Linked DNA regions of Rattus norvegicus. The protein of the gene in region 2 interacts with the protein of the main gene of each other region in a pairwise test. Links are inferred from orthologs where the notes say so. Each region holds a gene or a part of one and is shown on either strand. Other genes may lie near its edges.

What was found.
Region 1: the proteins of Ndel1 (region 2) and Mis18a interact in binary tests that used the Homo sapiens proteins (3 or more experiments, as listed by UniProt). The link is inferred for Rattus norvegicus from reciprocal best matches to the Homo sapiens genes NDEL1 and MIS18A.
Region 3: the proteins of Ndel1 (region 2) and Traf3ip3 interact in binary tests that used the Homo sapiens proteins (3 or more experiments, as listed by UniProt). The two-hybrid records come from large-scale screens. The link is inferred for Rattus norvegicus from reciprocal best matches to the Homo sapiens genes NDEL1 and TRAF3IP3.

What each region holds. Positions count from the first base shown.
Region 1 is NC_086029.1:43,464,970-43,468,718, forward strand, and holds the start of Mis18a (protein Mis18-alpha), read right to left. Parts: upstream 2,189-3,749; 5' UTR 2,166-2,188; coding exon 1,859-2,165; intron 1-1,858. UniProt on the Homo sapiens protein: Required for recruitment of CENPA to centromeres and normal chromosome segregation during mitosis.
Region 2 is NC_086028.1:54,059,294-54,063,042, forward strand, and holds the start of Ndel1 (nuclear distribution protein nudE-like 1), read right to left. Parts: upstream 2,743-3,749; 5' UTR 2,702-2,742; intron 2,646-2,701; exon of another isoform or gene 2,120-2,645; intron 1-2,119. UniProt on the Homo sapiens protein: Required for organization of the cellular microtubule array and microtubule anchoring at the centrosome. May regulate microtubule organization at least in part by targeting the microtubule severing protein KATNA1 to the centrosome.
Region 3 is NC_086031.1:107,245,620-107,249,368, reverse strand, and holds the start of Traf3ip3 (TRAF3-interacting JNK-activating modulator), read left to right. Parts: upstream 1-1,213; 5' UTR 1,214-1,253; intron 1,254-3,749. UniProt on the Homo sapiens protein: Adapter protein that plays essential roles in both innate and adaptive immunity. Plays a crucial role in the regulation of thymocyte development.

The DNA.
Region 1 (3,749 bases), on a different chromosome or scaffold from region 2:
CCCCATTGTTTCACCATAGCCTAAAGTCCCTTCATTCCCTGGTCCCTTTCTAAGGTTTGTCTTTATCCACACTTTGGCCACATTGACCTGGAACCCTTTTTACTACCTGAACATCCCCCCACCGGGGTGGGGGACACTCAGCATTTGCATATAAAGGTAACAAAAAGACATTTTCCAGCACCCAAACTTGACATTTCCTTGGGGACACTTGTGATAATTAAACAACTCAAGAATGGGAAATTATAAACTGTAAAATTTTATTCATTTCTGAGTGTTTTGTCTGTATGCATGTGTGCACCAAGTGCACGGGGTGGTGCCTGTGGCAGCAGACGCCCTGTATTGCAGTAACCTACGGTTGTAAACCACCATGCAGGGCTGGGAACTGAACCCTGGCCCTTTGCAAGGGCTCTTTACCACTAAGTCATCTCTCTAACCCCTAATTTTTTTAATATGTTAACAAAACTAGTGGGGTTCGGAAATTAATTTATAGAACATTATAAAGGCTGGAGAGATGGCTCAGAGGTTAAGAGCACTGGCTGCTCTTTCAGAAGTCCTGAGTTTAATTCCCAGCAACCACAGCATGGCTCATAATCATCTGTAACAAGATCTGGTGTGCAGGCACACATGCAGGCAGAATACTGGATATATAATAATAAATACTTAATAAATAAATCTTAAAATAAGTAAAGCTAAATCACCATGTTGTGGCTATAAATAAAGTGTTAAGTGTTGAGTGAGATATAGGGGTGCACATCTGTAATCCGCACTACTTAGAAAGCTGAGGTTAGATCATTAGTTCAAAGTCATCCTTGGAAACAGTAAGAGCCCCATTATAAAACAGAAAAAAATTAATTAAAAATTGTAAATGTCATAAATGTGAACGAAGGTAAATAAAACACTCCAACTGGGGCAAGAGGGAAAAGAAATTAATCTGGAAGGTCATTTTTTTAAAAAGCTTTTACGGGGTTGGGGATTTAGCTCAGTGGTAGAGCGCTTGCCTAGGAAGCGCAAGGCCCTGGGTTCGGTCCCCAGCTCCGAAAAAAAGAACCAAAAAAAAAAAAAAAAAAAAAGCTTTTACACCCTTCTGCATTGTTTAATAGGTGCAAAGGGATAATTCCAGTGAATGGAATTATCTTTTTGCTCCTACTGTTTAAAAGACTCAGTAAAAAGTACTAACATGAGGATAAATAGAATTATCTAATCCACACAGGTTAAATTTTTAAAACCTAACAACAGTATTAATACACACAGAAAGCAAGATAGAAAAGCTACAAAAACGGGGGATTAAAAATTAAAGACACGTTATTTCTTTTAAAGCCATTAAAAAACTACTATGTCAAAAATCTCAACCCAATTTTAGGCTACCCTAATTAATGGTGGCAATGCTTGAGTCAAACTAAACTCTATCAAGAAGCTCATCCAGTAAAGAAATCGCCTAATCCTGTGGCCATATACCATACATACACTTATCGTCCCCGTTATCCCATGTATTAGCCCTCAATTTGGAGACTGAGGCAAAAGCCTTTGAACAGATTGCCCAAGGGCACTAAACTAAGTCCAGCAGCGGCGGCCTACAAAGTACCCAAAGCAGCTGACAGAATCCGTTAGATGTGAAAACACTCCCCTGAAGGAAGCACCTTGCTAAAAACGCTTGGATATTTCTTTCTGAATAACGTTCAGGATGATGCTCAACCGCTCCCCTTCTAGGGATGGAAGACCCCAGAAAAAGCCCTGTTACTCGTGAGCCACCCACAGGAATGCCCTCGCCACGGTTTGCTGGGACAGCTCACCCCCACCCCACCCCTCCCGCAGCACCCTCACGCGGGAAGGCGGTCCCACGGCCCCGGCCCAAACTGACTGCGCAACAGGATGCAGTTGGTGTCCTCCTGGCTAGCCACCCAGGTGAGCGAGTCGCCCAGCGGCCGGCGACAGCGCGTACACAGGAACACCAGCGGGTTCTCCGCCGCGGCAGCCTTCTCCTCACGCCTCTCCAGCAGTGTCCTCGACGCGTCTGCGCTCGACATGCTCGCCCACTTCTGCAGCCGCCAATGGCGGCTCGAATCTTCCGACAGCCGCTTCTCCAGCAGCGAAGACTCGCTCCGCTTGCCCTGGTGGTTACACGAACTAGAGGTAGAGCAGGGTTCCAGAGAAAATGTACCAGCCATGACGAATTTGCCGCGCCCCGGAGCCTCACGGGAAATAGCACAGCTGCGCATGCGCAAGGAGCAAGAGGCGGGCACCGCCGAGGAGGGTGAGGCCCGAAGTAGGGCCTAAGGCGCATGCTCACTATCTGGCTGGAGCGAGCCTAGCTCATTGCGCCTGCGTCCTGGCGTCTTCCTAAGCAAAGGCAGGTGAATTAGCTTGTTGGAGGTCCTTCCGCCGCCGTTGAGAAAGTTAAGGGCTTCGAATTAAACAAGCAACCGCTCACCTAGTCCTTCCACATTATTAATGGACATGCCGGTGCTAGGTAAGCAGATCTGGTAAGCAGGCCCACCTCCATGGAATTCCAAGTGGTGTATTGCTAGCCACATCCCTGATTCTAGTCTGTCTGCTCCCGGAGACCCACTTTCCTAGATCCAGAAAAATCAGGGATCGATGGCGAGCCAAAGACACCCCCTGCCTCAAAGACCCAGCATTACGCAGGCTTGCACTGCAAGGGAAAAGTACGAGAAGCTGGAGGGGACAGCATTACTGTGGTTACAAAGTGGGCGAGTGTCACTCACTCTGTCTGGGTCAGAGTACAGTAGGGGCGGGAAGGACGGTCAGTCATCAGAAAGTCAACCTGTGACTTCAGAAGACCACAGGCTAAAGGGAAGGCTGGCGGAGAGCCGAGGGACGCCACCAGGGACAGCCTGGATGCAGAAGTAAGAAACAACACGCAAAGACCACCGTATTTTCCTCCAAGTCACACTTCGCAGTTCGCTTCGTTAAACTTCAGCATACGCAACCACCTGTTTTCGTATCTCAGGCCCCTAGTAAAAAGTTTCGAATCCTAAACCTTCGAGTTGACTGACCAAGGTAGTAAAGGGCCGGAAACTGGAAAGGCGACTTTGCCTTCTCTAAGTGTGATTTTTAACTTTTTGTTTCTTTTGATTCATTTTTGTCCAAGCTGTCCACCCACGGCGATCCTCCTGCATCAGCCTCCCACGTGCTAGGATTACAAGCCAGCCTTGAGTCTTGATTCTTCACAGGATTAAATGGTCAGTAACCTCCTGGACTATTAACTGAGCAATGGGATGTGTGTGAGGATACCATAACGGCATTAATTAGCTTCCAAGTAGGAGAAAATGCATCAAATAATTTAGGATTTGTCTACCCATAGAGTTGTTTTCTCTCTACTGCTTTTGAAGGTGCTGCCTGTGTCCCATGCACAATGCAGCCTATGTGAGTTGTGCACGTTGCATAATATCTTTGGAATTCAGTGGGCAGTTGTTTGGCTCAGACTTTGGGATTCTATGGTCAATGCTTAAAATTCTGTAGTGGTATATCCCTGTACAGAAGTCCTTTATCCTCAGAGAACACATCCTGTTTTGTAAGAAACAGAGCTCTCACCTCAAAGTGGCTGAGAGAGAGTGTATGCCGGAGCCAAACATGAGTGGCTGTGGCCCAAGAACAAACAGATTCAGGTGTCCCCAAATCCCATGTTCCAATGTAGCATCAGTTTTAATTGTGAGGGAGCACAATAAAGGAACCACCTAAATGGCCGTTCAAGGACTAATGGGGAAGGTTTTTAATCGTAGATAGAAAGA
Region 2 (3,749 bases):
CCTTGACTACATGGCAGGTTGGAGGCTCAGTTTAGGCTACACAAGACTTTTTCAAAAAAGAAAAAAGATTTAAAAAAAAAATTCATGGGAATAGAGATGGTTCTGAGGTTAAGAGCACCCACATCAGGCAGGCTCACAACCATCTAGACAGCTCCAGCTCCAGGGATTCAGGTGCCTCCTGTCTCTGTGGACATTGAAGGACTGAAAGGGTGGTTCAGTGGTTCAGCACTCTTGCAGAAGACTAGATTATGGTCCCCTGCACCACACAGGGAACTCCCTCTCCACCTCTAGCTCTTCTTATGACCTCTACAGCCACCCACATACATGTGAGCACACACTCACACACAGAAATAAGTTTTTAAAAGAAAATGAATCAAGCCAGAAAATTCAGCATGCAAAGTGCTTAAAAGCCCAGACCCTAGAGTCAAACTATGCCCTTGCTGGGAGACCTAGGGCAAGCTATTCAACTTCTCAGTGCCTCATTTTCTCACCTATAAAACAGGAAAATTAGTTGTGTTTTGAAGATGAAGTGAATTACTATTGGCACAGCATTCGTAACAGAGCCTGATGCATAAACACAGCATAAATGTTAATTCAATTGTAAGAATCTAGTATGCCAGAGTGGGCCTTTAAAGTTAGAGAGCAGACTTCCAAATTTAAAAACACGTGATTCCTCAAATCGTTCCATTACAAAAGGCTCTCACATCTCTCCTGGAATAAGCTTTGTGAGCTAGACTAGAACAAGCAGGAGTTCTTACCCTTCCGTCACACCTACCTGGCAGTACCCAGCTTTACCCCACTACACCTATTCATCAACTTTATCCTTCTAAAAGCCAGGTTTAAATAACGAATGTGCTATCGTTGCATGATCTCAAAGCTGTCTGCGACTGTGAAGACTGTGTGTGGAGTTTGCCTCCAGGTACACTGAGAGATTGTATTCACTATCACCTGAGATTACGTAAGTGGGGAAAGTTAGCCAATGTCAAATTTTTCACTGCTTTTAAAAAGTGCTCAAATGGCACATCTACAATCTTCTGAAGCTGCAATACAGGCAGACAAGTATGGGGTATGAGTCTAAAATTACAACTTCTGCACCAGACATTATCACACTCTATATGACCTTTAGATGTGAACTGGCAATTAGCTCACTTAAACTTTAGACAGTTATCATCTAACATACCTTACTGGCAAAGACACTCTGTACAGCACTAAGAAAATTAATTTTACATGATAGGCTATTAACATATGCAGAATGAAATAGGTCTTATCATTTTTCTCCCTTATGAAGTGCCTAGAAAGTAATTTTAACTTAAGTCATCAATCCTTGAGTTTATTTTACCATGCTTTAAAATCCAAATGAAAATAAATTTTGTTGGTCTCATGAAAGCATATTCAGGTCTATTTTTTCTGTATCCAACTTCAATTTATCTCACTCAAAGCAAAGGCACTGCAGATTTAGCAACTTCTAAGATTAAGTCTGTTTCTAACTGGGGCTAAAGGTTTTCTTTGTTCTTTATGCATTTCTACTCTAAATAAAGATGTTAACAATCCAGAAGAGATACCCCTACTGGGTGCCCTTTGGCCTCCTTTGACTGACTCCTCAGCTTAATGCTGGGCTTTGCCCTTCACCTTTCTGATTTGGCAGACACTAACCCTATCTCTTAAACGCAGTGAAAACAACACAATTTTCAGACTAACAAACAACCACTCATGAGCAAGCTTCAGGGTAAGATTTTTCTAATAACTGAGCTGATTTCTGGTCCATTTACTGGTAAATAGATAAGTAATCTAGTAACTTCGGGTATTATCTTTTGACAAGTACAATGCTCAGTCCTCTTTCTGGCTGAAGAAGGTATAAAAATTTCATGAAAACTGAAACCAGAACCCTAAGCTGAGAAAGGTAAATTGTGATCCAAGCTAAACTTCTCACCAGTTAGTGGAACTCAAGTTAAAAAAAAAAAATCACAATTGCCCCCACCCCCTTGTACCTAGGCTCAATTTCCCCACACTCCAAACAGTGACTTACAGTATCCGTTACAAGTGCAAACAACAAATGTTCTAAAATGTTTATAAACGCTACAGGAATAAACCCTAAATAATGAAAAGAACCCTCACTCGCCTTAAAGGGTTAGTCACCTCATCGTTTCCCAGAGAAAAAGGAGAACCCAAGCAACCGGAGTTGGTTGGTGATACTTTCCCCAACTCCAAAGCAGATGATTAGCAGTCCGGGGCAGACAGTCACGAGACTACCAGTCTCTGCCAACGCGTGCTGCTCCCGCTCTCCCCTCCCGCATATGGGGCGCTGGGAAATCAAGATCCAACCCTGCTCCTAACCACCCGGGCAGCTCCGGGGAATTCAGGGTGGGTGGAGCAAGACGCTGGGCGCGCCGCTGCCACCCCAACTGGGCCACTCCTCGAGCCGTCAGTCCCGGTTGCCACGTCCCGGCCTCCGTCCCTCCTCTGGAAGCCCCGCACTCGCTCTCCTGCAGGTGCCCCCAGTGGGCCACACCTCCGACAGTAAGGAAGGGGCAGTTAGAGCGGTTGGAACAGTTGTTTCCGTACCGGCCGCCCCAGAACCCAAGCCCGGCCTGGCCCACCGGGCCCTGAGCCACAGCCCCGCGGTCAGGCAGGCTCCCCAGGGGCAGGCCTCGGCGCTGCCCACTCGGCTCGACCCCAGAGGCTGCCTCACACGGGAGCTCACCGCCAATGTGTCAAAAGCGCATGTTCGCCGCCGCTCGGCCGACGTCTCTGCTCCGCTGGCCTGGCCAGGCCCGCCCAGCCTCTCAGCTCTGCTCCCTTCCGCAGCCCTGAGCTCCACTCCGCGTACCTCCGCGCTGGGCTCCTCCCCGACACGTCAGGGGCTCCCTGGGTGTCGGAAGCCATTCTGTGACGCACGGGGGTGGAGTCGAGAGCATGCGCAGAAGCAGGCGGGGGGGAGGAGCCATGGGAGGCAAGCGTCACAGGGAGCCGACCCAGGCCCTGCGCGCTGACGTCAGGCCTGCGACAACGTCCTGCGCAGGCGCCGCCCGGGGCACCCTAAGGGTGGGTTTTTAGCCCTCTGGGGTTTCCGGAAGCTGTGCTGTTGGCGAGAGTAGTTCCCTACGCTAAGAGGAAGGCAAGTATGAAGGCGTAAGGGAACTCAAGAAGGAGACAGGAAATATGCGCAACTGTCCTGGGAGTAGAAACGTAAATGAAGAAAAGGCATTTGGGGAACAATTTTAGGGATTTTTGCTGTCTCATGCTAAGTGTAATTCTAATTTCAGTGCTGTTGGGCTTGGTTTTGAGGTTTGAAAACAAAACAACATAGCATAAAACACGCTAAGCCTAAAAAAGGTGAGCTGAAGAAGCCCACGTATACTTTTAGGAAAGGTAAATATAAACAAAAACAGTGTAAGGTGGATTTTTTAAGGAGAACCTAAATTGATGAGCAGAGGAAGATTGGTAGGGTCTAAATCACCTTGAACTACACAATGAAGGAGTTAGGGTTTTAAAAAATGATTATGAGTTCACTGTGCGGTTTGTTGTGCCCAGGGTTGTACCAGTCACTGGTCTGCATTGCTTCATCACAGTAACCCCAGGTTACTCTCAATTACAAATAAGAAACGGCAAGATGAAGTTTCCCAAGGTCACTCAACTACAGCGCGAATTCAAATTCAGAAGCTATACTATTATTATCCACTACTACGATGACAAGAAGGGAAACATAGGCTAGACCATGGGGCTAAAGTGCTTTCAATACGCTACCATTA
Region 3 (3,749 bases), on a different chromosome or scaffold from region 2:
CACACCTGCCTCACACCTGCCTCACACCTGTCTCACACCTGTCTCACACCTGCCTCACACCTGCCTCACACCTGCCTCACACCTGTCTCACACCTGCCTCACACCTGTCTCATACCTGCCTCACACTTGCCTCACACCTGCCTCACACCTGCCTCACACTTGCCTCACACCTGTCTCACACCTGCCTCACACCTGCCTCACACATGTCAAACTGTATGGTCACGGCAGCCACATCAATCATCTGGCTTGCATACTGAGTGGCTGGTTCAGAAGGTTCCAGAGCTGTCCGTGAACTTGCACCAACTCAGCTTCCAGCCTATCTATCCTGAGTTGCTCTGGAATATCCCATTTGTAATAGTTTCTTTTTAACGCATCAGTCCACTTTAATTTTTCCCAACATTTCTTAGTTCAACTCACTGGGATTTTTCAGATTCTTCTGGCTGCCTGCCTTCTGCCCTCTGGTCACCCATACTTCACCCCTTCCACATTGCCTCACAAAGAAATGAACCCAGGATGCCCTCAAGGATCTGGAACTTCACAAAACACACAGATCCTTCAGACCACAGGAAACTACCCAATGCCAACATCCCAAAGGAAAGAGAGACTCCAAACAGCTTAATAGTATGAGGAACATCCCTCCTGGGTCTTACCACAAAAGTGGCAAGGTTTGGATCTGCCCCAGAATTCATCCCTGTGTAATCCTTAAAAAAAAAAAAAATTAAAACAGGGTTTCATGTAGTTCGGCCTAGCGTTGAACTCAATGTGTAGCTAAGGATGATCTTGACCTCCTGGTTCTCCTGCCTCTGCTTCCTGGGTGTTGGGTTTTCGGGTCTGACTTTCAATGTTAGGGATGGAATCCTGGGCTTTGTGCTTCTTAGGCGAGTAAAGCCCTCTACCTACGGAGCTACAACACCAACCACAGGAAATGAATATTGGGCTGAAGCTGCCGGAGAGCAGACCAATCAGGTAGTTGGAGAGTGGGTGCCTGGGTGGACTTCCTCACCAGCCCTGGAGGCCCCAAGGGTGCAGGGGCCCTCTTCAAATTGCTAAGGGCAAGGAGAGGAACTGAGGTTTGTGAACACTGTGGCTTGTGTTTCCTGTTTCAGCAGGCTGCTGCTGTGCGAAAGAAAGAAGAAAATGTTGAGGGGACTTAGGACCTCGATGTGAAAGCTTCCCCACCATCTGAGACCAGAGAGACCCAGAAAGGGCCGAAGGCTCTCCCGAGACACTTGAGACAGAGCCTGGGACCTGAGGTAACTGTGGAGGAAAATGCTTTGGGAATCCAGGTTTGTGCCTGTTGACTTAGGGTGGGGCAGAATATGCTCAGCCATGCCAGCCTCCAGCATAGCAGCAGGTGGTAGAATTTACTTGCTGGGGTTTGTATGACTAAAAAGGCGTCCTATGCTGGAGTCCTCGGGCAACCACGGGGTATGGCTCCTGACTCTGCTCCGTCTGTTGGTTTAGATGTGAGTCCCATGGCTTGGTGTTGGTGTGCTTGGCATCTGTGACAGGAATTAGATGGTCTTTCCCAATCCCTTCCATGCAGGGATCTCTGTAACAGGCCCTTCTCCTTCAGCAACACGTCTGTAGGTGAGGGGCAGAGCCCTGCTGTCTTCTCATGCAGGAAGGAGAGCCTTCCCTAGTCAGTACTAGCCCTGCCTCCAAGCTCTAACTAGGCCCTTTCATGTTGGCAAAGGGTACCTCAGAAACTACAGAAAATCCTAGGCAGCAGCCTTGTGACCTTTCTCTGAACTACAGTTCCCTTTTTATAGCCCATCAGACCTTCCACAAGCCTTCTTGTGTTTAAGCATGATCCCACCATCCTAGAAGTTCCATACAAGTGTCACGTCACACACCAGCAGATGTAGAAGGCTATGGGTCCTGAGACTCTCCTCTGTCTAGGAAGTCATTCCTGTTGCAACTTCCTAATCATTAAGTCCTAATGATGCAAAGGGTAAAAAAAGCCATATTTCAGCGGACAGACAGACAAGCTAGATGGAGAACAGGAAGACACATCATCACAGGCCTGCCCTCCACCCATCAGACCTTTCTTCTGCCCATCTGGAAGGGAGGATCCGCAACCCAGGGAGCTCCCTCTAGTATGAAGCCCCACAGTGGGGTGCCTAAGCCCTCACATTCATAATGGTTTATCCATTCTTCACCTACCTGTTCTTTGCCTCCCTCTCTGACCGAATTGAGTTGATGATTGGGTCCAGACCACAGAGAAGTGCTTTGTCCTTGTAACCCAAACCCAGAGACTTCAGGAACCACAGCAGTTAAATTATTCCAAGATGGAGCTACAAGCCCTGTTCAGAAGTGAGAGAAGGGAGTAGGGAATGAGGGGGCAAAACTGAACATTCTCAATCTAGAGTCTGGCTTTGCCTGGGGCATTTGATTCACAGCACCAAGTCTTCTTGGTAGCCGTGAAGACTTCAGCGCCAGCCACGATGTCTACAACATTTTTATATCTGTTGTTTTTGAAAAGCTGTCACTTATCATATGCCGTGTATGAGATATATGGTGTGGGTGTTGGGTGTTGTCTTTTAAGACTCACGCCTCTTCAAGGGAAGTTTTAGCCCCATCTCATAAATGAGAAGACTGAGGCTTAGCAAATTCACCGCCCCACCCACCCACACATATCTGTTTGGTGGGTATTGACAACCTGGAAGTGAGTCATAGTCTGGCCCCAAGGCAAGGGTTCCCTTCTTCCAATGAAGACAGAATAGTCAGGTGCACTGGCTTGAGAGTATGCATGTGTGTAATTCCAAGTCTCCTCTATACATTCATTTATGACAGAAAATGTGTAGGCTTTCTGAGTCCTTTTCTACATAATTAAATAAACAGCCTTATTAAATAAGCCAGACTACCCAAATCCACAGCAGGTGGGTGAAGATGAGGATTTGGTCACTATATGGATGCCAGGCAAGGCCACCTCGAGGGGCACGAGGCCTGTCCTGGAAACTGTTTCTTGGGGACTTTCTGTTATACAGGTTTCTTGTCTTGTTTCTTACAATTTGTAGGATTCCTGTTGAGAGCACCTCACATGCTTGCTAGTTTAGATGGCAGATTTCGGGACCAGACTGAGCCTGGCAGGGAGGTGATCCTGAGAACAGAGCCTCCCCCTCTGAGTCTCTGAGCCAGATTCTCTTTTTTTTTTTTTTTTTTTTTCGGAGCTGGGGACCGAACCCAGGGCCTTGCGCTTGCTAGGCAAGGGCTCTACCGCTGAGCTAAATCTCCAACCCCTGAGCCAGATTCTCTGAAGTGAACCAACACCAAGCATTTTGAAGGCTCTCAGCTAACTGACTGACTTGATCAGCAGCTGAGAGTCAGATACCCCAGCACTAGATACACAGTAGATGACAAAGAGGAAGGTCGGGGTGGAGTGATGGAGGAATTAGAGCAGGTTTCCCCTAGGTCATGCCAGTCCAGAGCCACAAGATGGCTGCTGAGAGCTAGGCGTGGAACAGAAAGTGCGAGTCACAAACCAGGTCACTTCCTGAAGGGTCGTGGCTATCCTGCTAGGTCTCCAGAAGTGTCACTTAGCAAGAGATAGTAAAGATGACATCATCTTTCTTTTTTAGACTGGGAGATAAAGTGGGCCGGGCTGTCCACAGTTGCACGTGGCTGAGGTTCATTGTGGCCACTGTTATTTCTTCCTCGTGTTCCCTCACTTAGAGGCATCTAGTCCGGAGGAAGGGGTTCCAGAGAGACCCGTCCACTTTAGGAGATTAGCGCTCGAGGAAACCGGA